Linked DNA regions of Ovis aries. Each later gene encodes a partner of the first gene's protein in a complex. Links are inferred from orthologs where the notes say so. Each region holds a gene or a part of one and is shown in the gene's direction. Other genes may lie near its edges.

Region 1 (6,385 bases):
TTAGGCAGGCTCCTGACAAAGTCAGGTGTGAAGCCTGGAGCTTTCCTGATGATGCTGGGTGTACAGCGTCCCCTTGGGGGAGATTCACTTTGTTCTGTTGCCCATTTAACTCTAGGACTTCAAAGTATGTCTGGGATTTTTTTATTAAAGGAAGAAAATTTCTAGCTGTCCTTGAAGAATTAAAGTGAATACTGAAATAGGGTTTTACCCATGATGAAGATTTCACCGGTTTATGCTTTCCGGTTTACAAGAGTTTTCAGGTATATTCACATTTGTCTCTCAACCACCAGGCAGTGCTGGGATGCCAGGACAGGACATGGGGCCTGCCGGGCTGTGCAAGAGTGGAGAGGTTCTCAGGGAGGAGGTGGGGCTTGATACCCCCAGGGCACAGGGACTATCTGGAGAGGGGGCTGGGTTGCAAGCAAGACGGGTTTAATGCAGTTTTCTGCAGTGATGACTTCAGTAACTGAGTATGTTCAGTACTATCACATTCTGAAGATACTCGGCCTGGCTACCTCCATCAGCCACTGTCCAGATCTGGCCATCTGCTTGCTCAACTCAGTTTGTGGTCCAGTGTCAACCCTAAGCTTCTGGTACCTAGTTGGGATTTTGCAAGATTGGCAGGAGCTGGTTTTTACAAAGAGCCAGTGAGAGGCTGTCTTTTGCCTTTGTTTACCCAAGATAGGCCTAACAGTTGAAGTCCTGAAAGGGTGTCCCTGGAGTCTGGTTTTTTAGTTGCTCTTTTGGGGGTTGGTGCACAGGAAACCCAGTGACCAGCATGAACTGTGACTCAGATTGCTCCTCCTGCCCTCAGAGACCACCACAAGGGGAGGACTAAGAAACTGCGTGCATGCTCTGACCTCGGGTCACGTCATTTGTGCAGTTCCTAAATTCAGTTTGCCAACGTAAAGGGCCCTCAGCCGGCTGTGGGGTTCACTAATGGCTGTGAGCAGCAGGCCCACAGTTTTCAAATCTGAGAAAAGTAAGAATGCACTTGTTAGGCCAAGTGTTCCCTATTTGGAGGAATTAGATGGGCTGTTATGATCAGACAAGCAAAGTGTTCTGAGCCCCTGAAAGGTGTTGAGAAACTGCATGGCTAGAACCAGCAGCTGAGTTCTGGTGGCCTCTGTGTCCTCCAGGTTACATCAAACAGGGAGGACAGCCCAGCTGCCACCTGAGGGTGATCCCCAATGTTATCTTTAAAAGGGTTAACTCCTGGAAGCCGCCTAGGAGACCTGGAACGTTAACAGGTGTTTCTTGTAAGACGTTAATCTAGTGCACCTGCGTTAGCTGCTGCAGGCGCTCCTCGCAAAGGCTTCTGGTCGTGGGAGGGCAGAAGCGCATGCGCTCTTCCCCACGCCTCGGTTTCTGTGGCTTTAAGTTGGGTCAGGTCTTGTGAAGCCTCTGGTTAACTCTCCATGGAAAATGAAAGTTTCCCTGAGGGGGCTTGGCACCTGAACAGGATTTCTCCATGTCACCACCATGGAGGTGGATACGAGAGCACTGGCCAGGGAGAGGTAAGCATGGCAAACGGTAGCCTCTGGGTTCGGCCTTCTCTTCCCCCTTGGCTCCGTGACCCTGCCCTTACAGCCCTCTGTGTACTCGAATGCCCAAGCGGACCCTGTTCCCACCCTAGAAAGTGAAGTCTCTCAGTCGTGTCCGATTCTTTGTGACCCCATGGACTATCAGGCTCCTCTGTCGTGGGATTTTGCAGGCAATAGCACTGGAGTGGATTGCCATTTCCTTCTCCAGCGGATCTTCCCGACCCAGGGATCGAACCCAGGTCTCCCGCATTGTACAGACGCTTTACCGTCTGAGCCACCAGGGAAGTCCACCCTAGAAACCACAGGTTTTGGATTTCTGTGCCCAGCCAGGGACCCAACAGGTCTCACCGTCGTGCATAGCCATGGTTCTCAAGGCCTTTCGGGCGGCTGCCACGAGTGAACATGAATGCAAGGGATATTCGAGATACGGGGTGTGGGTTCAGGTTGTTAATGCCGGACCCAGTCAGTAGATGCCAAGGAAGGGCTTAGAGGTGGTCACCCAAACTTAGTCCTGGGATTGGGGGAGTATACTATAAAGTTCAAGGCCTGGAACACCCACGCCTGTGAGGCCTCTCTCCAGAGCTCCAGTTTCTGTGGAGCCCCGGGCCTCGGCCACGCCATCCACAAGGTGGCGCCAGAGCTCACAGTGCGGGCGTTCTCGCCAGCTAGCCACAGGGTCACGTGGTACGGGGCGGCGCAGCCCGATGACGCACGCCCGGCGCTGCCCTCGCCCCGCCCTCCATAGGGTCACGTGGTCGGCCGGCGCAGCCTGATAACGCGGCGCCCCGGCCCTCAGCGCAGCTCCCGCCCCGCCCCGTCGCCGCGCCGAGTCCTTTTGTCCAAGATGGCGGCGCCGGGGGCGCTGCCTCCTCGGCCGCCGCCGCCGCCGCTGTGAGGGGCCTGCGGGCCGCCCGCCCGCCAGCCGCGCCGGCGCCATGAAGAGGCAGAGCGAGCGAGACTCCAGCCCGAGCGGGCGCGGCTCGTCATCGTCGGCCAAACGGCCGCGGGAGCGCGAACGGGAGGCGGAGGCGGGCGGGCGGCGGGCGGCGCACAAGGCCTCGGGCGGCGCCAAGCACCCCGTTCCAACGCGGGCCCGCGACAAACCTCGCGGTAGCGGGGGCAGCGGCGGTGGGCATCGCGACGGCCGAGGCGCCGGGGACGCGAATCACCGTGCGAGCAGCGGCCGCTCCTCGGGCTCGGGCGCCGGCGGCGGGGGACGCGGCGGCAAGGCCTCAGGGGACCCAGGCGCTTCGGGCGCGTCGCCCCGCGCATCTCCACTACCGCCACCTCCGCCGCCGCCCGGGGCCGAGCCCACGGGTCCCGGCTCCTCAGCGGCTGCACCCGAGTACAAGACGCTGCTCATCAGCAGCCTGAGCCCCGCGCTGCCTGCCGAGCACCTCGAAGATCGGCTCTTCCACCAGTTCAAGCGCTTCGGCGAGATCAGCCTGCGCCTGTCGCACACGCCTGAGCTGGGCCGCGTGGCCTACGTGAACTTCCGGCACCCGCAGGACGCGCGTGAGGCCCGCCAGCACGCCTTGGCCCGCCAGCTACTGCTCTACGACCGTCCGCTCAAGGTGGAGCCCGTGTACCTGCGAGGCGGCGGCGGCGGCGGCGGCGGGAGCAGCAGGCGAAGCAGCAGCAGCAGCGCCGCCGCCTCCACTCCGCCCCCGGGCCCGCCCGCGCCCGCAGACCCGCTCGGCTACCTCCCGCTGCACGGCGGCTACCAGTACAAGCAGCGTTCGCTGTCCCCGGTTGCCGCCCCTCCGCTGCGGGAACCCCGCGCCCGCCACGCTGCAGCAGCCTTTGCTCTAGATGCGGCCGCGGCCGCCGCCGCCGTAGGCCTATCCCGGGAACGGGCCTTGGACTACTACGGGCTGTACGACGACCGCGGGCGACCCTACGGCTACCCGGCCGTGTGCGAGGAGGACCTGATGCCCGAGGACGACCAGCGGGCCACGCGCAACCTCTTCATTGGGAATTTGGACCACAGCGTGTCAGAGGTGGAGCTGCGACGGGCTTTCGAGAAGTACGGCATCATTGAGGAGGTGGTGATCAAGAGACCCGCCCGTGGGCAGGGCGGTGCGTATGCCTTCCTCAAGTTCCAGAACCTAGACATGGCCCACCGGGCCAAGGTGGGCATGTCGGGTCGGGTGATAGGCCGCAATCCCATTAAGATAGGGTACGGCAAGGCCAACCCCACTACGCGTCTCTGGGTGGGTGGCTTGGGACCTAACACCTCACTGGCGGCTCTGGCCCGGGAGTTTGACCGTTTTGGGAGCATTCGGACCATTGATCATGTCAAGGGAGATAGCTTTGCCTACATCCAGTACGAGAGCTTGGATGCAGCCCAGGCCGCCTGTGCTAAAATGAGGGGCTTTCCCTTGGGGGGTCCGGACCGCAGGCTGCGCGTGGATTTTGCCAAAGCAGAGGAGACTCGGTATCCCCAGCAGTACCAGCCCTCCCCGCTCCCTGTGCACTATGAGCTACTCCCCGACGGGTATACCCGGCACCGGAACCTGGATGCCGACCTGCGGGTACGGGACAGGACCCCTCCGCACCTCCTGTACTCAGATCGAGAGCGGACCTTTTTGGAAGGGGACTGGACCAGCCCCAGTAAAAGCTCTGACCGCAGAAACAGCCTCGAGGGCTACAGCCGCTCAGTGCGCAGCCGGAGTGGTGAGCGCTGGGGAGATGGGGACCGGGGCCTGCCCAAGGCCTGGGAGGACAGGCGGAAGCGCCGGAGCCTCTCCAGTGATCGCGGAAGGGCCACCCACTCCCCTTACGAGGAACGGAGCAGGACCAAGGGTGGTGGGCAGCCTGCGGACCGAGGCTCCGACCGCACCCCGGAGCGTAGCCGCAAGGAAAACCATTCCAGTGAAGGGACCAAGGAGTCCGGCAGCAACTCCCTCAGCAACAGCCGACACGGGGCGGAGGAGCGGAGCCACCACCACCACCACGAGGCTCCCGACTCTTCCCACGGGAAGAAGACCCGAGAGAGCGAGCGCAATCATCGGACCACTGAGGCCGAGCCCAGGCCTCTGGAAGAGCCAAAACACGAGACCAAAAAGCTCAAGAATCTTTCAGAGTATGCCCAGACGCTGCAGCTGGGTTGGAATGGGCTTCTGGTGTTGAAAAACAGCTGCTTCCCGACATCTATGCACATCCTAGAGGGGGACCAGGGGGTGATCAGCAGTCTCCTCAAAGACCATACTTCTGGGAGTAAGCTGACCCAGCTGAAGATTGCCCAGCGCCTTCGCCTGGACCAACCCAAGCTCGATGAGGTCACACGGCGCATCAAGCAGGGGAGCCCCAATGGCTACGCAGTGCTCCTGGCCACGCAGGCGACCCCCAGTGGGCCTGGCTCTGAGGGGATGCCTGCGGTGGAGCCTGGCCTACAGAGGCGGCTTCTCAGGAACCTGGTCTCCTACTTGAAACAGAAGCAGGCTGCAGGGGTGATCAGCCTGCCAGTGGGTGGATCCAAGGGCAGAGACAGCACAGGCATGCTCTACGCCTTCCCGCCCTGTGACTTCTCACAGCAGTACCTCCAGTCAGCGCTGAGGACACTGGGCAAGCTCGAGGAGGAGCATATGGTGATAGTCATAGTGAGAGACTCGGCCTAGCCCAAGCCTGGCTGCGCCGGCCTGTCTGTCACTCAAGCAGTTATTTTAAAGTCTGACGCGGCTGCCCTGCACCCCCTGGCCCATCGTACACCCTTGATTTGAATTCTCTGCTGGGTTACTCCATTTCATTTGGTAGGGGACCAAAGTCCTATCTCCCCACCAAAAACTAAGTTCTTAGGTTTGGGTTTTTTTTTTTTTTTTTTTTTTTACCGTGATGAGAAGGGACTCCTGTCGTGTCGGCTTCTAGTGTATGAAATACTGTCTGCTGTGTTCTGTATTTTTTTATTTTTTGACTAACTGTATGGAAAATTGTCAGTAAAGCCTTTGTCAGAGGATGGATTTTTAATCCTGTTCAGAGTCCTGGTTTAATCATACGATTTTCTCGAAGGATGGAAGACTGTCCCCCGCTGCCTGCACACAGATAGGTGCCTTCCGGCATCTTTCCACTGCCGGTGTGTCTCCCAGCCCTGCTGCACTGGTGCCTGTCAGCCCCCAGCTCTTGGGGCTGTGGCGGGGCTCCATTCACAGGAGTTTCTAATTTGGTCTGAGAGCAAGTGGGTTTCATTTCAGACCCTGCCATGCAGCCTCCAGAGCCCACTGCACAGGAAGGGGTTAAGCCTAAGTCTAGCTAGCCGCTGTGGTGGTGTCTTTTTTGGTTTCCTGCCGTGAACAATCTGTGTGTCCGTCAGGTTGAAGAAAGCACCTAGTTTGCAGGCGTTTTTGAAAGCAGGTAGACCTTAGACCTTCGCAGTCGTGGTGTGGTAGTCATGGGAGGAGCAGTGCAATATTGGGGTCTTGGTGCCTGGATGTGCCCAGCTTCCTCCCCTCGTTAGCCTCCCTTCCCCCCTTAACGCAGCAGCCTGCGGATACCCAGGTGGAGACCACGCTCCTTCGGACTCCCAGGGGCACCGGTGGTCCCACGTTGGAGTGGAGGGTGGGAGGCCACTTTCCTTGGTTAATCCCTGAACTTTTCCCAGTGCTTGTGAATCCTGGCTTTTCTTACGATCGTTCAGGGCTGGTGTGGGCCTCTGCCCGGGCACTGGAGCAGACTGAGGGACATGGGACCTCTGGCCTGAAGAGTTTTTGGTGGAGGACAGTGGGTTAGGAAGATGCTCTTGTAAACCGACATAACTTTCTTTCTCAGGTGCAAGGTGGGCGCTGGTGCCCAGGGCCTCCTGCCCTGATACTGCTGAGGTACGGACCACTGGAAAATGGGGTTCC
Region 2 (6,355 bases), on another chromosome or scaffold:
CAAGCTTCCAATTTTCCAAATAGCCTGGCACGTATTTCAAGGTAACAGATATCACCCTCATTCTGTTTTTCTGGCGGCATTGTATTCCATGATATGGATGTATCATGTCTAACCAGTTCCCTATTAATGGACATTTATTTCCAAACTTTTGTGATGACACTGTCACAAGTAACCTTGCCCACATGTTCTTTCTGTATGTGAAGTTGTCTTTTCAGAGTAAGGTTAGGGTTAGACTTGAAACTGCAAGACCTAAGAATAAGTGCATACATAATTTTGGCACTCCATAGGGCTTGAATCATTTTCCCATTCCCACCAGAAAACGCATAAGCACTGTTTCTCCACAGTCTTGTCATTTCAGTGGGCATTTCCATTATAAGTGAGCATGAACAGTTCTTTCCTGTTTACCAGTCATTGCTGTTCTTCTGCAGGAAATGTCTACTCATGTCTTTGTCCATTTTTCCCTTCAAATTTTGGTCTTTGACCACCTAGAGTATACTTTGTTGTCTTTCAGTTGCTAAATCGTGTCCTACTCTTAGCAACCCCATGGACGGCAGCACGCCAGGCTTCCCTATCCTTTCACTATCTCTCAGAGTTTGCTCAAACTCTTGTCCATTGAGTCAGTGATACCATCCAACTGTCTCATCCTCTGTTGTCACCTTCTCCTCCTGCCCTCAATCGTTCCCAGCCACAGGGTCTTTTCCAAAGAGTCGGTTCTTTGCATCAGGTGGCCAAAATACTGGAGCTTCAGTTATCAGTCCTTCCTGTGACCATTTGGTTGATTCCTTGTAGGATTGACTGGTTTGATCTCCTTATTGTCTAAGGGACTCTTAAGAGACTTCTCCAGCACAATTCAAAAGCATCTAAGCGTATACTGTACTTTTATCCTTATAAATCACCTCATTCCAGAACACCTCCTTTGGGGATAAACGGTTTTGGTGAAGCTGGATAAGGGGAGCCCAATGCAAAGACTATCTGACTCCTCCAGTAAGTTTAAGAGTCTAACATCCACCAGACAACACCATGGTTCTGTGATAGACCAGTTGATCGTGTAAGGGAGGGTATCTGAATTAAAATTTGTATTAGAGGGTTCTTTAGGGGCTATTTATTGTCTCTCATCTCTTACTCAACTATCCTGTATGATGACAGGGAGGCCGGTGACTTAAATGCAGCGTCTCTGGACCAAAAGGAGCCCCCACCGTGCCCTGATATAGATAATACCTTAACGTTTCAGACAGTGAGCCTGTTGCTAGGCCTGGAATGAAGTGGACTTTGCAGTCTCTTGCAGTGAGGGAGAGGAGAAGGCAATGGTACCCCATTCCAGTATTCTAGCCTGGAAAATCCCATGGACGGAGGAGCCTGGTAGGCTGCAGTCCATAACGTCACTAAGAGTCGGACACGACTGAGCGACTTCACTTTCACTTTTCACTTTCATGCATTGGAGAAGGAAACGGCAACCCACTCCAGTGTTCTTGCCTGGAGAATCCCAGAGCCTGGTGGGCTGTTGTCTATGGGGTCGCACAGAGTCGGACACGACTGAAGCGACTTACCCGCAGCAGCAGCAGCAGCAGAGGGTAGAGTAAGCCATGGAACATAAGTCATGTTAAGAAAAATTGTTTATTATTGCTCGCCACTCATGGCAAGATACTTTCTGAAACAAACGAAACAAGACAAAAAGAACTCAGGAGGTTGAGTTAGCAAGGTGCCCCCAGAGCAGCAGACAGAAGTACAATCTCCACCTCCCAGACAATAGCTCCCAGGTTTCGCCTCGAGATTTCAAGGAGCAGTCGAACCAAGCGTCCACTTCCAGGATGAAGAGAGGGCATCGGTTTCTAAAGTATCAAAACCTAGAGCAGCGACGGTTCGCGACATCTAGACTGACCGCATTCGCTGCCTAAAGCCGTCCTCAGGAGACTTGCACCTGGCCCGCCAGCACGCGGAAGCATCATCGCTGGGCGCTGCACCAAAGGGCAGCCAATCAGTCACTGCCTTCGTCCAGATTCCTCCGCCGGAGGCCGCGCCGCAGCCGCAGGTGGCCCGGCGAGCGCGTCCACCCAGCGCCGCCAATCGCGACCCCCGCCGCCCTTCCCGTGATGCCCCGCGGCTGACCTGCGACCTCGCGGCTCGCCTTTCCCTGAGGCCGGTTTTTCTCCCCGCCCCCCTCCCCTCCCCTCCGGCGAGCTTGCAAGGGCTCTAGCGGCCGCGGGGCGTGCCGCCGGGCGCAGCTCCTCCCTGAGCGACTGCAGGCCTCCCGGCAGGCGCCTTCCCTTAGCCTCTCCTCCTCGCGGCGGGGCCCAGCGGGCGGGTAGCCGCGACCGCGTCCGGGAAGCACTACCCGTCGGTGAGTGGGCCGGGCGCGAACTCCGCGGGGCGGAGAAGCGGGCGGGCGCCAGCGGCGGCGCGGGGCGGGGCGGCGGGAGGAGCGGGAAGGGGGTGGGGCGTCGGGGCCTCGCTTCCTCCCTCAGCGCCATTTTGTGGCAGCGAGACCCGCAAATAAAGGGGAGCGCCGGGGTTGCGGCGCGGAGGAGGAGCGCGGGGGCCGGCGGCGGCGGCGCGGTCGGGCGGCCTGGGCGGCGAGAGGACAGCGCGGGGTCGGCCTATGTGACTGGGCGGGCGCCGGCGCGGCCTCCGTTTGGAGAGGTAGGTGCGGGCCGCCGCCGGCTGCAGCGGAGGCGAGGACCTCCGAGTCCCCAGGCGGCTGAGGTGCGGCCGCCCGGCCCCGGAAGGGGCCAACTGAGCGCAGGAGGCGGACTCGGGGTTCCCGGGCCCCCCGGCCTCCCGTTAGCCCCGCCGTCTGCCCGCTGGCAGGGACGACACTTCCGCCGTCTCGAGGCCATTTTACCTCGGTTCTCAGGGAGCCGGGGGCGAGGTGGGCGCTCCCGCGGGGCCGGCAACGCCGGGAGGCCGTCCCCTCGGAGCGCGCGTCCCGTCACCCCCTCGGCGTCGCGGGCTCCCCCACCTCCCTCGGCAGGATCGTGAGGACCGGCGGCACCGACGAGCCGAGGGGAGGAAAGCCGCGTCCGTGAAGCACATTTCACGTCGCGCAGTAGCTTCCTACTGCAGCTGCGTTGTCTTGTAGGCTTCCATTTTTAAATGAGTGCATGCCTTCTAACTAAAATAAATACTGACTGAATTCAAGGTTTTCGTGAAATTTTAAAATCTCGCCTTGGATCTCTCTAAACCGCATTTCTCTAGTCAGTGGGGAACACGTAGTGGAAAAATGTCCACGTTTGTTTTGATGAAGTCAGGTTGGATATTTGATCCCAAAGGACTAGGTTAAAATCCGTAATAACCGTGTTCATAAGGGAAGCAATGATTCTTTTGCCGAGATTAGAGAAAGGTAGAAAAATATTTCCATGAGCATGTTATGGTCCTGAGTTCATATAGTTTTCTACTTAAGAATTTGGTTCCATCACTAAGGAGGATAAGTGGAAGTCACAGGTCTGTCACCACAAGTTTCTTCAAAAAGAAAAGTATTGTGAAAATCTTTGCACGATGCCTGTTACACATTTACATATGTCATTTATTTATTTATTTTTTATATATGTCATTTAGTATCATCTGATTAGGCAAGTTGGGGAAAGAAAATGCGGCGTGTGATAAAGATGAGGTTAAATTTCAATGATTTGTTTCGCTGTATTCCTACAGTTCTTTCATATCTTACATTATCTTCAGTAGTTAGCTATAGCTAAGTGATCAGTATTTTCACTTCCCAGTAGCAGAACTTAGGCAAACTACCTAAATTTCTAAGTCCCAACTGACAAAAGTAATGATGATCAAGTGTATCCCAGGCACAGCTAGTTTTTTTACTTAACTCATCTAACTTATAGAACTTCACCGGTTTGAATTTTGAGTATTTGTCAGAAATGAGTTGGTATACAGAAAATTCATAGCCTTGTGGCATGGAGAGGAGAGTTGTAATAATTATATTTGTCCAGTCCGTTACAGCACTCAGAGTCCCTTACGTTCATCTAAGTATGTATATATGTAATACACAGTTCCCCTGGAAATATTGTTTATTTTAGAGTCTCGATCATTTTCATACAATAGAACATTATCTTGCTGTTGAAAAAGATTTTTCTTAAAAATTTTCTGTGGGATCCTTTAGCAAAACAAGACCTAAACAGTATTTGGTTTTATTTTTGTTTTTATTAATTATCTCCCATTATTCTGCCTCTAAAAGTCCTGTCTGACTCTTCTGCTACCCGGTGGGCTGTAACCCACCAGGCTTCTCTGTCCATGGAGTTTCCCAAGCAAGAATACTGGAGTGGCTTACCATTTCCTTCTCCAGGGAATCTTCCTGACCCAGGGCTTGAACCCGTGTCTCCAGCTTTGCAGGTAGATGAGCCACCTGGGGCTTAAATATATTCTAGTACTAAGCTTACTAGAACAAAACTTCTCAATATTCCTCTAACACTATATCCCATTACATATAAAGGTGGTGCATCAGGCTAGAACTCCATGCTATAAAGAAACGGTCCTAAGTCTTGAAAATGTAGTTGGTGGAATTTAATTTTTTCTAAGTGCTCTTATGCTAATATTAGTATTTTATTTGAAATATATTTGTTTGTAGAGCATCTTTATGGTACTTAAAGCACTGAGATTTGTAGCATTTGGTGAGGCAGGCAAAATTGGCATCCTCTTTGCTGATTTAGAGGCTGCAATCTAAAGAAAATGACTTGCTCAATATCACATGACTGATTATTACGAAGTTAAGAAAAGCTGGTCTTCCAATTCCTAGCTAGTACCCTTTCTGCTGTTGTGCCTTGATTAGTACAGTGTCAGATTATTAGTTTCTTGCATTTAGTTACGATTAGTTTCAGCAAGGTACTGGTTTGTTACTGAAGTTGTGTCATCTGGTACGTGCTAAGTCGCTTCAGTCTTGTCTGACTTCTTGCGACCCTATGAACTGCAGCCTGCCAGGTTCCTCTGTCCATGGGATTCTCCAGACAAGAATACTGGAGTGGGTTGCCATGCCCTCCTCCAGGGAATCTTCCCCACCCAGGGATGGAACCTGTGTCTCTTCTGTCTACCTGCATTGGCAGGCGGGTTCTTTACCACTATCGCCACCTTGGAAGCCCACACCATCTAGTGAAAGTCGCTTAGTCCTGTCCGACTCTTTGCAGCCGCATGGACTGTACAGACCATGGAATTCTCCAGGCCAGAATACTGGAATGGGTAGCCTTTCCCTTCTCCAGGGGATCTTCCCAGCCTACAGATTGAAGTCAGGTATTCCACATTGCAGGCAGATTCTTTACCAGCTGAGCTACAAGGGAAGCCCAAGAATACTGGAGTGGGTAGCCCCTCTCTTCTCCAGTGGATCTTCCTGATACAGGATTTCATGACTTAGGATCATAATGCTAAAAGCTGGGAAGCCCTGGGATATGGGATGCTAGGTACCTAACCAACCAGAACTGAACTTAACATCATAATGTCATTTCTCAGTGTAAAGGCATCAAGAGTAGAAGGTACTTTTGACATTCTACACTTTAACTGTATTAACTGTGTTATCCACATGGATAACAAACCTTTACATAAAACTTAAAACCATGTTTTAGCCAGTCTTTTTCAACTTGCTAAGGGCAGCTAAATTGGTTTTTTCTGTTTTGCTTTTCTGCATTCTCCAGTTTGCAAAGCTTGATCATCATTAAGGATGGAGGAATGGAAGAATTACCTGTCCTCATTGGTACCAACTTTTAAGAAGCACTAAATTTGGGATCCTAACCCCCTAGTTTTTAAATTAATAGCTGTTATAATCTGAGCTGATTAGCTAGTGATTCACAGCTTTAGGTATATATTCTTTTTTTTTTTTCCCCTTCAAGATTCAACCCCAAATAATATTTCCAGTCATTCTGTTTTTCTGATAGATTGTTCTGAGAACCTGGTATATCCATTGTCTTTATGAATCTAGAATTAACTTTAGGTTAATTTAGGTGGTTATTGTGCTTGTCACTTGTGCTAAAAAAAAGTGCCTTGGGGAGTAATAAGTTTTATAGTGCATGTAATGTGAAAAGTTGTAATTGAGAATCATGGTCTGTTTTGATTAAATAGTTGAATGTTGATTCTTTTAAATTTTAAGCCTGTTTCTAATTGGCCTTTTGTCACACTGTCCATTTAACTATTGTGGTATATCATGGAATCTCAAGCCAAGATTAACTTTTCATCAGCTAAAGATAAGGAAGCAATTTCTTACTAAATGCTAATGCTTTGATTTCCCAAGTCATTTATTCCGTAACATGTGAAATGATAGGTGATTGAGAGTCAACATACAAAACACAAACATACGTACGAACTTTTATTTATCCCTGACTTATATTACAAATTCAGATATTTATTTTTATAAAGAAAATCTAGATAT
Region 3 (5,702 bases), on another chromosome or scaffold:
AGTCTGTAGCCGTGGTTTTCTATAGTTCACTCTCTGGCTTCCCTCACTCCACATTAAAAGAAAATATCTCACATTAAACATAAAATTCAGATATTACCTTTAACACATGTAGGCACAAAATATGTATTCTTTCTCTTTTCTCTGGCCTCTTTAACTCTGTATCTTCTAAGATTAAAATTCTGAAATATTTGTTATTTATTTTTTAGTCCTATGCTTTGATTATATTTTTCATGCTTCTGATCTCAAAGTACAGTATTTCTTGGAGCTTGTCATGGTTAAATATTCCAACCATTGACAAGGGGCCCAGAAATTTAGTAGTCAGCTACTCAATAAAGTAACTTAGTATATGAGATAAATATCTTGATGTTTTTATCTATTGTCATCTCAGTATATTGTCATGGTAGAAGTTTAAAACCACCACCATTTATTTGGTCATGATTCTGTGGGTTGGCAGTTTGACTCAGCTCAGCAGAGTGGCTCTTCTGCTATTCTCACGTAGGATCACTCTGTTTCTCCAGTCAATCTAGCAGGTCAGCTTCCTCACATGTCTGGCAATTGGTGCTGGTTGTTGCTTAGGGCATCTTGACCTCTTTTCCTCTAATAATCTAAACTCTGTTTTTGCATATGATAGTAGACACATACCAAGAAGGCAAAAGCAGAAGCTGAAAGGCCTCTTGAGTCCTAAATCTCCAGACTTACACAGTGTCATTTTCACCACATCCTCTTGTCGAACATAGTAAGTCACTGGGTTAGCCCAGATTCAAAGGATGGGGAAATAGACTACCTGATGATGGCAGGAGATTTAGATAAGGAATTGTTACAAGCTTGGGCCTGTCAGGTGTCATACTACATCTGGGGCCTCATTTTCTACCTGGTTGCTCATCTGTATAAATGGGCCATCAAGGAGGTACATGTGCTCATGTGCTACAGTGTTACTCAACTTCTGGCCATAGTATTTATAAACAGTATTTGTTAAAAAAAAAAAAAAAGTGGTCAAAATTCAGTGAAAATATAGGAAAACACTAGAATAACTTAAGTATCCAGAGATACAGAATACTAGTCATCTAAAGTTTAAAGAGTAAAAAATAGTGAACATATGAATTATTTTATTAATTTGTCATTAAGTAGATGATTTAGTTCTAAGAGGTGAGTTAGAACCAGTTTTTATCAGTGTGCCCACAACATGACAGGCACTGGGCTTATGACATAACAAATTTATTCCTCACTGCAGTTTTATGAGATGAACCCCCATTTTTCATCTATATTCAGATGAAAAAGCTAAGAATGACTTCAAGGAATTTATCTAAAATTGCACAATAAATAACATGACGAAAAGTTGAACTCAAGTCTTATTTGACCCCAAAGCCAATACTAGGTTTTCTCATTTGGCTTTCCAACAAAAGGTATTTCTATATCATAAAACAGTAAAACTGATGAATAAGTTTTAGTAGAGTTGAATCCTCTGCTGTGTTACCACTTTACAGTAATTAAACCTGGTGAATGTCAGTGAGCAATTCTACATGTATGGTGAAAAAAGCAGAGATGGTGCCATGTATTTTAGTCCACGATCGTTAAGTCTCAACAAATGAAGAATTTTGTTAAAGATGCTAAATAAATGCCCTTTGTATGATACAGATAGCTCTGATAGTATTGTTATCCTACAATTATATATTCTAGTTATAGTAAGAAATAATAGTAAAAAAAAAAACAAATCTTTTTCATCCCCTGAAATCTTACAAATTACGTTTGTGTGATTTAGGAAGCGCTATAGAAATGAAGGGAGTCCTAGCCCTCGTCAGTCACCTAAGCGCCGGCGAGAGCATTCTCCTGACAGTGACGCCTACAACAGTGGGGATGATAAAAGTAAGCAGAATCTGTGTTCCCTGTTTCTAGAGTCAGACTCACTTGCAACCATGAGACAATTCTTTTACATCAATAGGGAATGATGAATTAAGATTTAAAATTTTTACTTGCTCTGCTGCTTCTGAATATATCACATTGTGACTAAAAACAACTATGTGTTTGAAATATGTAGTCGTTTTACCACAGTGGCACTTGTCATTTCCCACTAGTTGTAGTAAAGCCGTACTTCGGTTTTTACTGAAATTATTGCTATTTTTAAACTTTTAAAATGAAAAGGGAGACACTGGTTTGTTACTTATAGGTAACATGCAGTATTGTTAACATGATGAAAGTTTGATGACTTTTATCTTTTGGTCTAGATGAAAAACACAGACTCTTGAGCCAGGTTGTTCGACCTCAAGAATCACGTTCTCTTAGTCCATCACACCTTACAGAAGACAGGCAGGGTAGATGGAGAGAAGACGATCGTAAACCAGAAAGAAAAGAAAGTTCAAGGCGCTATGAAGAGCAAGATTTCAAAGAGAAAGTTTCTTCTGTAGATAAGCAGAGAGAACAGACAGAAATAACAGAGAGCTCCAGAACTCGTTCACAAGACCTGACAGGACACCACCCATCTGAAGATCGAGACACTTCTGATGGAGCTTATGAGGAGAGCAAAAGAAAAGCAAAGATTCAGAAGAAGCCTATTAAGAGAAAGAGAGACGATGATGTTGGAATGGGGAGGGGTAACACAGAGATAGCGTCTGAAGATGCTCAAGTATTTTCACCAAAAAAAGGACAGAAGAAGAAAAGTGTTGAAAAGAAGCGTAAGAGGTCCAGAGGTGATTCTGACATCTCTGATGAAGAAACGGTGCAGCAGAGTAAGAAGAAAAGAGGCCCGAGGACTCCGCCTATCACAGCCAAAGAGGAGCCGGCTGACATGCCCAGTGATAAGGATGGCGCTCTGGAGGACCCTCAGAAGAAAGAGGATACAGCGTTCAGTGACTGGTCTGATGAGGACGTGCCTGACCGCACGGATCTGACGGAGCCAGAGCATGCCGCCACTGCCGCCACCCCTGGAAGGACCCCTTCGCCGTCTTCTCTCCCTCCTCCCCCGCCTCCTCTGTCTGCTACCGCGGCCACCCCTGCCACGGCCTTCAGCACATCGACCACCACCATCTCCACCTCCGCCCTCCTCACCACCAATACATCTTTTACCAGTGAAGACTCCCATAGGAAGTGCCACAGAACACGAGCGGAAAAGGTAGAGGCGCCTCATGTTACTATAGAAGACGCACCGCATCGCAAGCCAGTGGATCAGAAGCGGAGCAGCAGCCTCGGCAGCAACCGGAGCAATCGCAGTCACACGTCTGGCCGTCTCCGCTCCCCATCCAACGACTCTGCTCATCGAAGTGGGGATGACCAGAACGGTCGAAAGAGAGTGCTGCATAGCGGCTCAAGAGACAGAGAAAAAACTAAAAGTCTGGAAATCACAGGAGAGAGAAAATCCAGGATTGATCAGCTAAAGCGTGGAGAACCTAGTCGAAGTACTTCCTCAGGTAATAAAAACAAATTGTAACCTAACCAGTGTTTCTTATGTGAGTGTATTTTGTACATTTTTATGTTTTGTTCAAATTATAATTTTAAAGTAAATGATAAGTTGTTTATACACTGCCTTAAATTTTTTCAAGGAGCTTAAAACGCTTAGCCATCCCACCATGATGTTACCTATTATCACATTAATACCAGTAGAGTAGAGGTACATTCACTCACTCAGTTTAACACCAGCATCTTAGTATATCTTGGTGGAAAGCACTTACATGTTCAGGTTCTCTATTGATGCCTAAAAATTTTAACCTGGTTCTGCTTCTTGCAACCAGTGCTTTTTCTCTGTTGACTGTGTAAATGAGGTAGGGGGAAGAGGAGGAGGTACATAATGAAATGGTCAGTTCTGTTAATGCTTACTTATTTTTACATATTTCTTTAAAGATCTTTTGTGGTTATAGTGGAAATAAGGAAACAAACATGCTTTTTGCATATTTGACACTACTGAAGAGTGGTGGATGTTTTTCTTTGAGATGAATTTTTTCCTTAAGATGAGTTCTTTGGATAATCTAAAATAAGTACCGAAAAAGAGAAATTGTAAATTTTAATTTATCATGTGTTAAGTCTTTGTATATGGTACATTGATTTTAGATCGCCAGGATTCAAGAAGCCATAGTTCCAGAAGAAGTTCTCCTGAGTCAGATCGACAGGTCCATTCAAGATCGGGGTCGTTTGACAGCAGAGAGAGGCTTCAAGAGCGCGACCGTTATGAGCACGAGAGAGAGCGGGAAAGGAGGGACGTCCGGCAGAGAGACTGGGAGCGGGATGCCGATAAAGATTGGCCCCGGAATAGGGAACGGGATCGACTGCGGGAACGAGAGAGGGAGCGGGACAAAAGGAGAGACTTGGACAGGGAGAGGGAGAGACTACTCTCCGATGCCCTGGAAAGGGACCGGGAGAGGGACAGGGACAGAACGTTTGAAGGTTCTCAAGTAGAGTCTGTAAAACGCAGTGAAGTCAAACTGGAGAGTGACCATGACAGAGACCTAGAAGGCGGCTCCCGAGACTCTGGAGCTTTGGATAAAGAAAGGCTGGATAAAGATCTGGGATCTGTGCAGGGATTTGAAGATGCAAGTAGAGCTGAGAGGACTGAGAGTGTGGAAGGTGAGTGTCACTCCTTTCCGTCTGTTTCTCTCCCCCGTTTCGTCTCAAATCTCATAGGAAACCAGTACTTCCTTTTGAAGGGTTATCTGATATGATGATTGACTCCATTGTTTTAGGGAAAATAGATTTTGTAAGGAAAAGGCCTGTGATACTTAAAAAACTTGTACTCGTTAGTACTTTTAAGGTAGACTTGGTTCTAATAAGCCTAAATGAGATAAAATTATAGTCATCCTTCAGTCTGTCAGTATCTGCAGGAATGAGTTCCAGAGCCCGCCACAGGTAGTAAAATCTGTGGATGCTCAGGTCCCTTATTAAAACTGACTACCAGCTCGTAGAATGAGGGACTCTGAGAAGGCCACGTACACCCTTTTTCCCAGTCAGAGTCAGCCTCCACTGCGGCCCTCTGTTGTCCATCCTTCACCCCCAGCCTGCTGTACAAACTGACTCACCTCTGTTCTCTGGATGGTCTCCCTCCTGAAGCCTTCTCTGAGCCTGCTCTTCCCATTGCCTGACAGACTTTTTCCCTTCTATCTTTTCTTACTCAAACAGCAAGTCCCAGTTTATAGATTATTTCCTCTGTGAAACCGTCTCTGCTAAAGGTGCTCTTTAAAATTGACAAAGCACCTTGTTTATACATCTTTAATAGCATCTCTGCACCATATTGTAAATTATTTTTCCATGGTTCTCTCCCCATTATATTGTACTCCTTTGTTAGGCACCATAGGTTTTTATTTCTTTATCTTCACGCCTCTAGCAAGGACACAATAAATAGCTGATGCATGAAAATCTGTCCTGCCTGTCCATACCTGTCCTACGTCTTATTCTGTGATGAATTATAGCCCAGGGTAACAATAGTAATGGCCTCTCCTGAGAATGCTCCTGGAAATTCTGCTTCCATGAACTGTCCAATTCTGATACCAGCGCTTATGTGCCGTTTCCACTTTAAGCCCCTGAGAAACTTCTTAGATGCTTAGTACATGAGCAGTACTATTTTACATTCCTTTCATTTGCTGTACTGTAGCACTAGTCCCAGAATAACGTTGTTCACATTCTTTTAAAACTATAAACATCCTTGTATCTTTTGGTTATTTGGTTAGATATATTTCAATACACCAAACTGTTAACATATTTTTTTCTACTTGACAAAAACG
Region 4 (5,652 bases), on another chromosome or scaffold:
ACAGAATCAGTTATTTCTAAAGGCTAGAATTTTTAATATAAAATGGAATTAAATATTATTTATGATTTCTGGGTATTCTAAGCACTTAAAGTACTGTAATTTTATAGTAATCTTCATATATGAAAAGATAGTTTTACATTTTTGTTGGAAAAAAATTGAATTTACTGTTAAATCTGTGGTGGTAGAAGCCGTGGATTCTGCACTGTTGCTTTGCTGTGTGGCATAACTAAGTAACAGTAATGAATTGTGAGTTTTAAAATAGTGTAACATTATTTTACTGTGTCCTTCTGATTTATTTTAAATATTTGTAAGTTCATTAACTTAAGACTACCAGGGAAGAAGGCTGCTTATATTAAATGTAGAGGATACGTATTCTTTCACTGCCATGAAATACTTTGTGGAGATAATAGGATTAGGTGAAACGTTGTACAGTATTCTTCAGGAGCTTTTAACCTGTAGGAACCATGAATGTGCATGTATATGTTTTTTGGGGAAGGGCCAAAGTTTTCATTGCATTCTCACAAAGAGCTTTGTGACTGAAGAAGGTTAACTGTTGCTTTTATGTAACTAGTACTTAATATATGTTCATTTTAACCAACAGTTCTCAAGTACCTTCCATGTCTAGGTCACTGCGCTCACTGTTGCTTTTTATTGAAATATTTTAATTTGCTCTAGAATATTAACTGTAACATGTCTCTGTTTGCAGATTCCATGCAAGCATGTGTTTTGCTATGACTGTGCTATTTTACATGAAAAAAAGGGAGATAAGATGTGTCCGGGGTAAGATCATCATTAAATTTTTAAATAATAAGGATTGTGATATAATGATTTATGATCTAGGTTAAAGGTGAGGATATGATATAGACCGTTGGCAAGATGTCAAGTGTGTAGACCTGGCAAATGTTTCTCTGTGAACCTAGAGTTGGCTATAACCTTCTCCTTAGGATAGGGCTAATTAGCTATTATCAGTTAATTCACATTGGCCAAAATAACAATAATAAATACATCACAAAGTTAGCATTATAAACCAAAAATACTTTCTTATTTTAATGGGATGCTAGACAGGTAGTATCATGTAGTGATTTCGAGCAAAGACTCTGGAATTAGAATTATTGGATTCAAATCTTTATTTTGTGATTTATTTTGTCACATACATGATTTCTTTATCTGTAAAATGGAGCTAATAATAGTACTTACCTCCCTGGGTTATTATTAGAAGTAAATGAGTAGCAGATAGCAAGTACTATGTAAGTATAATCTCTTTATTTATTGACTTCAAATCTGATTATGTCTTGAGTACATCTTACAACACCTTCATGTTCTAAGACAGGCTCAGACAAATTAAGACCATAGGGAGGTGTTGATCGATAGTGATCTTTTTGGGAATAGTAAGGATCCAGAATAAACTATGAATTTTTATATCAATTCAGAACCCCTGATAGAAGACTTAAGAAAAACCTTGAGAGAAACTTCTTTGGGAACAACTGTAGGCTTTCTAGGTCACTTATAACCTAAGTTAGAACCTATCCCAAGGGTTGTAATATTAGTTGATAATAAAATTGTGGACAGTTGTAAGGGATAGTTTTCTTTTATGGTGTAGGAAGATTAGCATCTGTGGGAGAGAATGAAGATTCATTAACAAACCAGTAAGAAGTAATTCTCTTAGCATATTTTATTAGCCCTTTAAAGTCATATATTATAAATTTTATAGTGTGAGTTTAAAGAATATTTTCTCAATAGAATTATAATTCAAAAGAATTAGGAAATTGATAGTGCATATTCACTATTTGCCTCAGTTTCTGTAGTGCCTGATTTTCCAACACAGTGTACATCCGCTTAAATTCTATAGTAAATTTGATTGCCTCATTGAGATAAGGGATTTTGGATGTTGTAAAACACCATGTAGAGGACATCAGAAGGTTTTCTCTTTTATGTAAGTGTTTTGATGTTAATATTTAAAAGGGAATTTAGTTTTCAAGTTTTTCAGTGTAACTTCAGTAAGCATATCACTGGTTGGCTTGTTAGGGATATTAAAACAAAAGCTTATCTGGATTAACAGACCTGGGTCAGAAAGTGAAGAAATGACAACCCTAATTAATGTAAATATTATATACTAATGCTTAAGCCTCACCCAAAGAAATACACCCCACCTCCCAATCCTGTTACTGTGGAGCTATTTCAGAGTTTATAGCAAATTAGAAGCAAAAAATGAGAAGTGTGCCAAATGGCCACTAAAGGGAAGCCTCCTAAGTATGAAGAAGTAGTACCAGCCTACAGTGAGGAAGAAACACCAGCCACCACTCCAAATCAAGAATATGGAGCCATTTGATACAGGTCATATGACCGGATCCACATATTCAATGATGATAGCTTATACGTGTTTAGTGCTTAACTAATCATTAAGTCCTGTCATTTTCACTGTTTCATTGATGTTTCAAATGTTCTTTTAAGTAGGGTGAAGTCTATATAAAAGCATTATGAGTTAGATTAGATGTTATAACCCATTTTACAGATAAAGAAACAAAGTTTAAATGACTTCTCCAAGATCTCAGCCAATACTAGGTCCCAGTTCCAATTCCTAGTTCAGTCTTCTTTCTGTTGTTTCAAGAAGCCTTCTAAAGGCAAAAGTGGATTAAAAAACAGCAGATGAAGAATAGTTACAATTTGACCCTGACTTATTAAGAAAATAATTGAGTTAAATTTAGTGTTTATAATTTAGAAAAGTAGGAGTGTGTAATACTTTGTAGTAGTAGATTTGTCTGACAATTCAGGAAGACTCCCTCCTTGAAAGGACTCTTGGCATTCATGGTTTGAATTTGAAATATTGTTTAATATTAAGAACCTTGATCGTTAGGATGATCCTGTTTATTTTTGTAGTTCTTACAACACCTTTCACTTAGTATCTTCTACGTAGTATTATTTGCTCATAAAATTGCTTACTGGTCAATAAATACTCTACAGGTTTGCATTTTGTGATTCTGACAAGATCCTTTGGTTTGCCCTTCCTGGAGTTTTGGGGTTTTTTGCACACGGATTCAAAACATAGAATTGTTTGTGAAATCAGATAAATTCTAAATCTTGGTAAGAAAAGGGTTTTGCTTCAAACCTACTCTGTTTGATAAACACTTTAAATTTTTTTCTTAAGAATTTTGATGTTGACAGAAATGCTGATGCTTAATAGCAAACAAACCACAAAGTGGAAAAGATTAAAAGTTCACTTACATAAACTATAACTTTTAATTGTGAACTTTTTGCAATGTTTTCCATAATAAAATTTAAAACTAGTCATATCTTTGAAATTTAGTGCATTATTTTTATAGTCTGTTTTTAGTAAATCAAACTTTTTTCCCCTTCTGATTTAGCTGTAGTGATCCTGTGCAGCGAATTGAGCAGTGTACACGAGGTTCTCTCTTCATGTGTAGCATTGTTCAAGGGTGCAAGAGAACATACTTGTCTCAGAGAGACTTACAGGCTCATATCAACCACCGCCATATGAGAGCTGGAAAACCTGTTACCCGGGCTTCACTTGAAAATGTTCATCCTCCTCCTATTGCCCCACCACCAGCTGAAATCCCCGATCGTTTTATCATGCCGCCAGACAAGCACCATATGAGCCATATTCCGCCAAAGCAGCACATCATGATGCCACCACCTCCTTTGCAACATGTGCCCCACGAGCACTATAATCAGCCACACGAGGATATCCGTGCTCCTCCAGCTGAATTGTCCATGGCTCCTCCTCCACCTCGCTCAGTCAGTCAGGAAACCTTTCGTATTTCAACAAGAAAACACAGCAATTTAATAACTGTCCCTATTCAGGATGACTCAAATCCAGGTGCTAGAGAACCACCACCTCCTGCCCCCGCACCTGCTCACCATCATCCTGAATATCAGGGTCAACCAGTGGTCTCGCACCCTCATCATATTATGCCTCCACAGCAACATTATGCACCACCCCCACCTCCTCCACCACCAATAAGCCATCCAATGCCACATCCTCCCCAGGCCGCAGGTACTCCTCACTTGGTGTACAGCCAAGCTCCACCTCCACCAATGACCTCTGCTCCACCACCAATTACCCCTCCCCCTGGACATATTATTGCCCAGATGCCACCTTATATGAATCATCCTCCTCCAGGACCTCCCCCACCTCAACATGGTGGTCCACCTGTAACTGCACCCCCTCCTCACCATTACAATCCCAACTCTTTACCCCAGTTCACTGAAGATCAAGGAACTCTGAGCCCTCCATTTACACAACCAGGGGGAATGAGTCCTGGTATATGGCCTGCACCGAGAGGGCCACCTCCTCCTCCACGAATGCAGGGTCCGCCTTCTCAAACCCCACTACCTGGACCACATCATCCAGATCAGACAAGATATAGACCGTATTACCAATGATAATAGTATTCTGAACTGATGATATGATGAGGAAACAAAACTTATATGTATAGTCAATCTTTTCTTTAAGCTTTGACTGTTCGGGGAAGGAAAAGCGCCTCTTGCTGAGGTGGCTGTACAACACTTAGGGTCTTGTCTCTTAAAATGGTTTTAAATCTTGACCTTAGGATTGATTTCAAGTACTATACTGTAGTGCAGTTAAGTGGCTCAGTTGAGCACAGCTATATTTTAAGAACTTTGTTCCCCTAGTGTGGTAAATTGACCCAGAGGTGACCATTTGTAAAAAAAAAAAAAAAAAAAAAAAATTGAAAACATTTTTCCATTGTTCCACTTTCAAAAGTACGTCTTTTGTTAAACCCAATGTTTAAGTTTTTCTTGTGATACATTTTGTTAACCTGTGTAAAAGGATTAAACTTCAATATGGTTGTAAAAATACTATTTTTATGTGAACTTAAGTGCAGCCACATACTGTTTTTTAAACCATATGTTTTACCACTAATTTCCCAAAGTTACAATAAAATCCTAAAAGTAAAAATCTAATAGAATTTACTGTAAGGCAGACTGTTAAATGGTAGAAAATTATTTCACATTTTAGGCACTGAAATTTTGAGGTATATTAGGTATATAATGCACTTCACTTGGATGCCTTTTCATTTATAGGCAGCCTCAGGAGCACCAAAATACATTGAAATTCCAGTACTAAGAATATTTATGTCTGTAATGTTAAGAGGCATTGCTTGTATTTTTGGAAAGATAGGGCCAAAGTAATCAACTCTGTAGGCTCCAAGCTGTTGGGGATGCTGTTACTCATTAATGCTTTTTACCGAATGGTTGGAGTCATATGCATCACACTTATTAACCTTAAGTAACATTTTATAGAACTGTATAAGTGGTATTCTTTAGATGAAGTGTGTTCCTCTCTGCTCATTGTCTGAAACTAAATATTTTGGGCTGAATAGGCTTTATGTAATTCCTCATTTCATGGTAGAATTTGATCCTGTGCTTAAGTGGATTCTTGTTTATTGGGTTTTAAAGTATAATTTGAATGCCATGGAGGAATTTGAATACTGTATTAATGAAGGATGTTCTTGTAATCACATACTTGCGTTGCTCAGGTTTCATTACTGTATGATAAGGTGTTTTTCTCTAACTTAACATTTAAAAACTATTACTGACTTCCTGTTTCTTTCATTGGTTAAGCAGTCTAAAACTTGGAACATTTTTTTAGCATAGAGTCAACAGTGAAGACTA
Region 5 (6,259 bases), on another chromosome or scaffold:
GCAGTCCATGGGGTCGCTAACTGTCGGACATGACTGAGCGACTTCACTTTCACTTTTCACTTTCATGCACTGGAGAAGGAAATGGCAGCCCACTCCAGTGTTCTTGCCTAGAGAATCCCAGGGACGGGGGAGCCTGGTGGGCTGCCATCTATGGGGTTGCACAGGGTCAGACATGACTGAAGCGACTTAGCAGCAGCAGCAGCATACCTGAAGGTCCATCATCCTGTCTGTTGTATAAAATGCTCAGTTAATGTCAATGCATATTTGAGTGAACAAAATGTCTATTTACATCATTTATTTAGATCAATAAAAGTTCAAATCAGTACTCATGTGACTGGCAAGTGTATTGTCTTTTACAGTATAGGGCCCTTGGAAGTCAGCATACTTTTTCAAGTAGTGCTGCCACTACTCAAAGGATTTTTAGGACTCCTTTTTTGAAACTGCCTTTCAGAACTACTTATTGAGAAATTCATGACGATTGGTAGAGTCTAGTACTGGTTATTTCCAGCCAAGACAAATGGACATACACAAAAAGGCGATCCCTAGCATCTGACCTCTAGAACATGAACCAAGACATGTTTTACGATGACCCACCTGTTACTGAGTTTAGCCCTTTTGGCCTAGCCTGGACCACTTGCTTTTGATCTGTAGGGTTTAATACTATTTTCAAAAAGTAAATCCCCTCTTGAAGAATATAGACTTGTTACTAATGTTACTAAGTACTTGCCACAATTTCCAACTAAACATGGAGCTACATGACTTTCTTAGCCTACTTCTGCTAGTACTTTGAATTTGGAATAAGATGATAATATGGTGCATAGCTGTAATAACTTAAGACTTCGTCTTTGCTGCCTTCTATAAAGAGGGGAGAATCATTACTGAGCCCCCTTCTACAAGCATGTTATCTCAGTAGACTATGTTTTTATATCTCAGGGTTATTTCCAGCTAAGACAAATGCACAAGCACAAAAAAGGGGTCCCCTGGCATCTGACCTCTAGAATACAACCAAGACTTGTTTTCCTTTGACCCATCTGTTCAAGTCTAAGCTCATACTGCTTGCTGCACAAAAGGCCAGTAATCAACAGGCAAGTAGCTGGGACAAGGAATAATGACTTCCTTTGGAAAATCAGTTAAGCAAGAAGAGAGTGGGCTCACGCCTCAAAGAACCATCTTGCCTGAGTTAGAATTTAGGCTTTTTTTTATAGTAAAAGTGGAGGGAGTAAAGTCAAACGCTTTCTGTTTCCTATCAGCCTCTGGAGAGGGATGTGTTAATCTCTTTCTCCTGGCAGTGATTCACAGGTGGGTCTGCTCCGGATGTTTCCTATGAGAAAGATTTTAGCTTAATGCGCATTCCCTGGAAAGCAGGGTTCCCAGAGATAGGCCGTTTATGTATAATTTAAGTGTATAGACAGCATCCCTTTAGTGATTAACTGATTTTTCTGGGCTTCAAAATCACTGCAGATGGTGATTGTAGCCATGAAATTAAAAGACATGTACTCCTTGGAAGGAAAGTTATGACCAACCTAGATAGCATATTAAAAAGCAGAGACATTACTTTGCCCCCAAAGGTCCGTCTAGTCAAGGCTATGGTTTTTCCTATGGATGGGAGAGTTGGACTATAAAGAAAGCTGAGCCCCGAAGAATTGATGCTTTTGCACTGTGGTGTTGGAGAAGACTCTTGAGAGTCCCTTGGACTGCAAGGAGATCCAACCAGTCCATCCTAAAGGAGATCAGTCCTGGGTGTTCATTGGAAGGACTGATGTTGAAGCTGAAACTCCAATACTTTCGGCCACCTGATGCAAAGAGCTGACTCACTTGAAAAGACCCTGATGCTGGGAAAGATTAAGGGGAGGAGGAGAAGGGGACGACAGAGGATGAGATGGTTGGATGGCATCACCGACTTGATGGACACGGGTTTGGGTGGACTCCAGGAGTTGGTGATGAACAGGGAGGCCTGGCGAACTACGGTTCTTGGGGTCCCAAAGAGTTGGACACGACTGAGCAACTAAACTGAACTGTAACAGAGGACAAAAATGTCAAGGTGAAAGTGTTAGTCACTCAGTCCTGTCCAACTCTGCGACCCTATGGACTGTAGCCTGTCAGGTTTCTCTGTCCCTGGGGTTCTCCAGACAAGAAAACTGGAGTGGGTTGCCGTGCCCTCCTCCAGGGGATCTTCCTGACCCAAGGATCGAACCCGTGTCTCTTATGTCTCCTGCACTGCTGTTCCCTGCCTAAAGGGAAATATAAGTAATAATAAAAATCTCAATAAACACCTTCATGGTGGTATGCTTTTAGCTCTGCTTATTCTTTCAATCTTCAGCTCTGTAAAGTAGGCCCTCTTATCACTCCCATTGTACAAATGAGAAAACTAGAGGCACACAGAGGGTGATTAACTAGCCAAGGCCATTCAGCTAGTAAAGGACAGTCCTAAGTTTAAACCTGGCAATCGGACTCGAGTCTGTGCTTTTAGCAAAAAACCTGGTATCCAGCAATTTTTAAAACGCCAGCACTGGCCACTGGGGAATTACTGGAAAAGGGAATCGACAATACGGCCCACAACTCGGAAACAGTGCTATAAGACCTAGGAAGCCTGCAGTCCCAGGAGAGGGCAGTGAGAAGCCAGGCCACCTGCCCGCACCACTGTGACAGCCCGCGCTCTCTGCAGGGCGGTTACCTTCCGTGACGCCCCGGGCGCCGCAGGACACTCATTGGGCCTCTGCTAAACGGCGTCAAATCGCGGGCGTCCATGGGGAGGCGGGACTTCCGTGGTCCGTGGCGCAAAATTCCGGCCGCGCCGGAAACACCTACTGAGGAGAGGGTATTGGGTACCCGCCTCCTGAAGCGGCTGGAAAATTTTGTGATCCACAGATTCCGAAGAGAAATTGGCGCAAGGGTTCATCCGCTAATTGCCAAGTTTTCGAGGTAGTGGAAAACAAGTCGGGATATGGACAGCCGCTTGCAGGAGATCCGGGAGCGGCAGAAGTTACGTCGACAGCTTCTCGCGCAGCAGGTCCGCGGCCCAGGGAGGGGTCGCGAATGCGCGTGCGCCGCGTTCCCCGTCCCTTTCTCCCCGTTTTTCCGTCTCCTCGCCTGCCACCCGGCAGCCCTTCCTGGTCTTGCGACTTTAATCCCAGGACCTCTCTACCCTCTCTACCCCGAATCGTTCCCCTTTCATGTTGTGGTCCTTGCGGTGGTGCTAAGCCGACCGCCACGCCTGGTCTTCAGCATCCTGTGTGGAATGCCCGCCAGGGGTCTGGCATCCTCAGTGATGAGGATACAAAACTTTGGTGTTTGTGTGTAAGTTATCGCAGTTCACGCGAGGAAAGGGGAGTCGTTAGCCCCTCAATTTCTCTTCACTGTTTAAATAGTCTTTTGTGTCTTGCCTTTTCTCGTATCAGCGCCTGATTCATGAGACTGTGGCTTCATTGTGAAATAGGTTTACAGTGTTTTTTCCTGGGATAATATCCAAAGACCGCGTTGGCAGTAGCCGGAGTGTAAATTTTAGGTTCTGCATCGTGGGTGTTGCAGTCGACTGTGTTGTATACGGTATCCTCGTCATTACCCACAGCTAAATGTTTGAATTCTTTCCTCAGTCACAACAGATCTCTCAAAGAGGTAGCGTTATCGTCACGTAATGAGACACGGGCGCCGGTGGCTAACGAATTTTTCCCTCGAGTCGTTAACCGCTGGGCCAGTAAGTTGAACCCTGGTTTGTCTCTCCAAAGCTTGTCTTCACCGCGGCTGGCGTGTAAATTGACACGTGCTGATTAGTAGAGTGCATATGCAGAAAATGCAGATGCCACCTTTGCTTAAAGTCAGAGGCTGTCTTTTCCTTTCTGCCCCTCGGATCAGTAACAGTGATGGGGGAAATGCTCATAAGCTTTAATGAGGGATCTTAATAGTTATTCAGAAATAGTTATTTTTTTTTCTGTAATGAATCTTGGTTTTAGTAAATGAAAATCAAAGATATAGCTTCTTTTATGACATGATGAAAAGATTTATGGTATAGTGTTTAAAATGTCGGTGCTTGGGGAACTTCTCTGTTGGTCCACTGGTTAGGACTCTGCGATTTCATGGCTGTGGCGTGGGTTCAGTCCCTGGTCTGGGAACTAAGATCCCTTAAGCCCCGTGGTGTAAGCCAAAACGAAAAAAAAAAGTGGGTGTTTGGAATTAGGTCTGTTCCTGTGCCTCTGACATTATGATTTTTTTGACAAATCAGGTATCTTTTTCAAGCCTTCTTTATCCCAATTGCTTTTATCATGTTATGTTTGAAAATGTTCAGTGACTCTTTATTAAAACCAAGTAAGATTTTGACACTTAAGTTTTGAATTCAGACCGATATTTGACTCAAAATACATACATAAAAAATTATTTCTTCAATGTCTTACTATGTACCAGGAACTCTTGCAGATGTTGGTAAGTCCGCTATGAATGATAGGTTATCCTACCTTTAGAGAACTTAAATAGTGTACAGCATTTAATAATGGCTGCCATTTATTAAGTCCATTTTATGTGTCAAGGGACTTGACAAATTTTTACGTATGTTATTTTATCATACAAGTCAGATGCTATCTGGATCTTATAGGTGAAGAAAATAAAGCTCAAAGAATTTACCTTACATGCTGAAGGTGACAAAACTTAAGTTTGCCAGCTTCGGTCTTAGGCCTTTCTGTGCTCTTGCCAATACACCTGGTTCCCTCTTGGAATAACTGGTTAGATACCATTCCACCTGGGTGAGGATGGCCAGTATAGTCAATAGTAGACTTCCACTTTACCAGAAGCCTTTTTTTCACTGACTATGTGAACAAGACAGACTGGTTGCTCTCCAGAAAGTTGTTTGTGTAATATAGACATTGTAATTTTTAAGAAGCATCCTTTCTTTCTGATTTCTGTCTATCCTTTATGGCACAGCCCAGGGCAGAACTTTGTGATGAAACTTGGTCTGGAACTCCCTGGTTTAGGCTTTTCTCGCTCTGTGCATCCATTGTCCTGACTGAATGTTGAGGCCACTGCTGTACATCACTAACTCGTACAGACAATTCCAGTTGGGTTAATCTTCTACCCTAACTTTGTTTCTTACCCAAAGTTAGTTTTTAATAAGTTTTTGTTGATTCGTGAACTTCAAAGTAGAGCACAACTCAGCGTATGTAATTTACTTGATTTGCTTTTGGCTGCTGGATGAAGATATCAGATGCAGTGTGTAAGTAAAGTCGCTCAGTCGTGTCTGACTCTGCGACCCCATGGACTGTAGCCTATCAGGCTCCTCCGTCCATGGGATTTTCCAGGCAAGAGTGTTGGAGTAGATTGCCATTTCCTTCTCCAGGGGATCTTCCCGACCCAGGAATCGAACCCAGGTCTCCCACATTACAGGCAGACGCTTTACCGTCTGAGCCACCGGGCAGTGTATAGGCACACACTATGATTGTGGCCATTGATGCTGCTGCCAGTAATTTACACCTGCTCTTTAACTTGTAGCTTTGTTTTTAAAAGTAGTATACTTTCAGAGGATACCAAATTGTCATAATTATTCAAATAACATATTTAGTGCTACCACAGCGGAAATGGCAACCCACTCCAGTATTCTTGCTTGGAAGATTCCATGGACAGAGTAGCCTGGTGAGCTACAGTCAAGGGGGAATCACAAAGAATTGGACACGACTGAGCGCACACATATACACACCCACAATGGAAAAAGTCTGTTTAATTACTCCAGTCATTCCACAATTTAAAAAAAGTTGGAATACAAGAAGACGATTATGTATGTAAGCACAATTTGATTTAAAACGTTGTCTTATAAAACATCGTATTCTAATTTAGGCCCTGGCAAGAAATCTCATTGGTTTATTCACATATTTATTGAGCATCTAGTATAAGTAAGACTTTATAATAGCTCCTGAACATTAGATATCAACAGGATAGAGTTCTTCCTCGGTGAGCTAACAATTCAGTGGGGGAAGAAGTAGACAAAAGTAAACATAAAATAATTGATGTGTACAAATATAAAGTATAAAATAATATAAATAGGGAATAAACAAAAGTAAAACAAAATTAGTTTGTATTTTGATCTGAATGAGAACTATGATCTGAATGAGAAAATGAGGAGGTAAGAGAAAAATGCAAGGAGACTACCTGTTCTCTCTAGTGTTCATGGAAGAACTCTCTGAGAAAGTGACGTGTATTTATCTGAGAACTGAAGGGAGTGGAGTCAGTCACTTTCATGGGAAGAAGGTTAAAAGGCATTTCCCCTTACAGAAAGTAG

The links.
Region 2: RBM15B (region 1) and WTAP share a complex: the UniProt entries of both Homo sapiens proteins name them as parts of the WMM complex. The link is inferred for Ovis aries from reciprocal best matches to the Homo sapiens genes RBM15B and WTAP.
Region 3: RBM15B (region 1) and ZC3H13 share a complex: the UniProt entries of both Homo sapiens proteins name them as parts of the WMM complex. The link is inferred for Ovis aries from reciprocal best matches to the Homo sapiens genes RBM15B and ZC3H13.
Region 4: RBM15B (region 1) and CBLL1 share a complex: the UniProt entries of both Homo sapiens proteins name them as parts of the WMM complex. The link is inferred for Ovis aries from reciprocal best matches to the Homo sapiens genes RBM15B and CBLL1.
Region 5: RBM15B (region 1) and METTL14 share a complex: the UniProt entries of both Homo sapiens proteins name them as parts of the WMM complex. The link is inferred for Ovis aries from reciprocal best matches to the Homo sapiens genes RBM15B and METTL14.

The regions. Positions count from the first base shown.
Region 1 is NC_056072.1:49,434,679-49,441,063, reverse strand, and holds RBM15B (putative RNA-binding protein 15B), read left to right. Parts: upstream 1-2,371; 5' UTR 2,372-2,479; coding exon 2,480-5,164; 3' UTR 5,165-5,510; downstream 5,511-6,385. UniProt on the Homo sapiens protein: RNA-binding protein that acts as a key regulator of N6-methyladenosine (m6A) methylation of RNAs, thereby regulating different processes, such as alternative splicing of mRNAs and X chromosome inactivation mediated by Xist RNA.
Region 2 is NC_056061.1:83,743,018-83,749,372, forward strand, and holds the start of WTAP (pre-mRNA-splicing regulator WTAP), read left to right. Parts: upstream 1-1,994; 5' UTR 1,995-2,338; intron 2,339-2,463; exon of another isoform or gene 2,464-2,637; intron 2,638-6,355. UniProt on the Homo sapiens protein: Associated component of the WMM complex, a complex that mediates N6-methyladenosine (m6A) methylation of RNAs, a modification that plays a role in the efficiency of mRNA splicing and RNA processing.
Region 3 is NC_056063.1:16,422,392-16,428,093, reverse strand, and holds part of ZC3H13 (zinc finger CCCH domain-containing protein 13), read left to right. Parts: intron 1-1,759; coding exon 1,760-1,863; intron 1,864-2,222; coding exon 2,223-3,401; intron 3,402-4,038; coding exon 4,039-4,551; intron 4,552-5,702. UniProt on the Homo sapiens protein: Associated component of the WMM complex, a complex that mediates N6-methyladenosine (m6A) methylation of RNAs, a modification that plays a role in the efficiency of mRNA splicing and RNA processing.
Region 4 is NC_056057.1:50,283,430-50,289,081, forward strand, and holds part of CBLL1 (E3 ubiquitin-protein ligase Hakai), read left to right. Parts: intron 1-706; coding exon 707-780; intron 781-3,362; coding exon 3,363-4,401; 3' UTR 4,402-5,652. UniProt on the Homo sapiens protein: E3 ubiquitin-protein ligase that mediates ubiquitination of several tyrosine-phosphorylated Src substrates, including CDH1, CTTN and DOK1. Targets CDH1 for endocytosis and degradation.
Region 5 is NC_056059.1:7,055,736-7,061,994, reverse strand, and holds the start of METTL14 (N6-adenosine-methyltransferase non-catalytic subunit), read left to right. Parts: upstream 1-2,787; 5' UTR 2,788-2,944; coding exon 2,945-3,010; exon of another isoform or gene 3,011-3,040; intron 3,041-6,259. UniProt on the Homo sapiens protein: The METTL3-METTL14 heterodimer forms a N6-methyltransferase complex that methylates adenosine residues at the N(6) position of some mRNAs and regulates the circadian clock, differentiation of embryonic stem cells and cortical neurogenesis.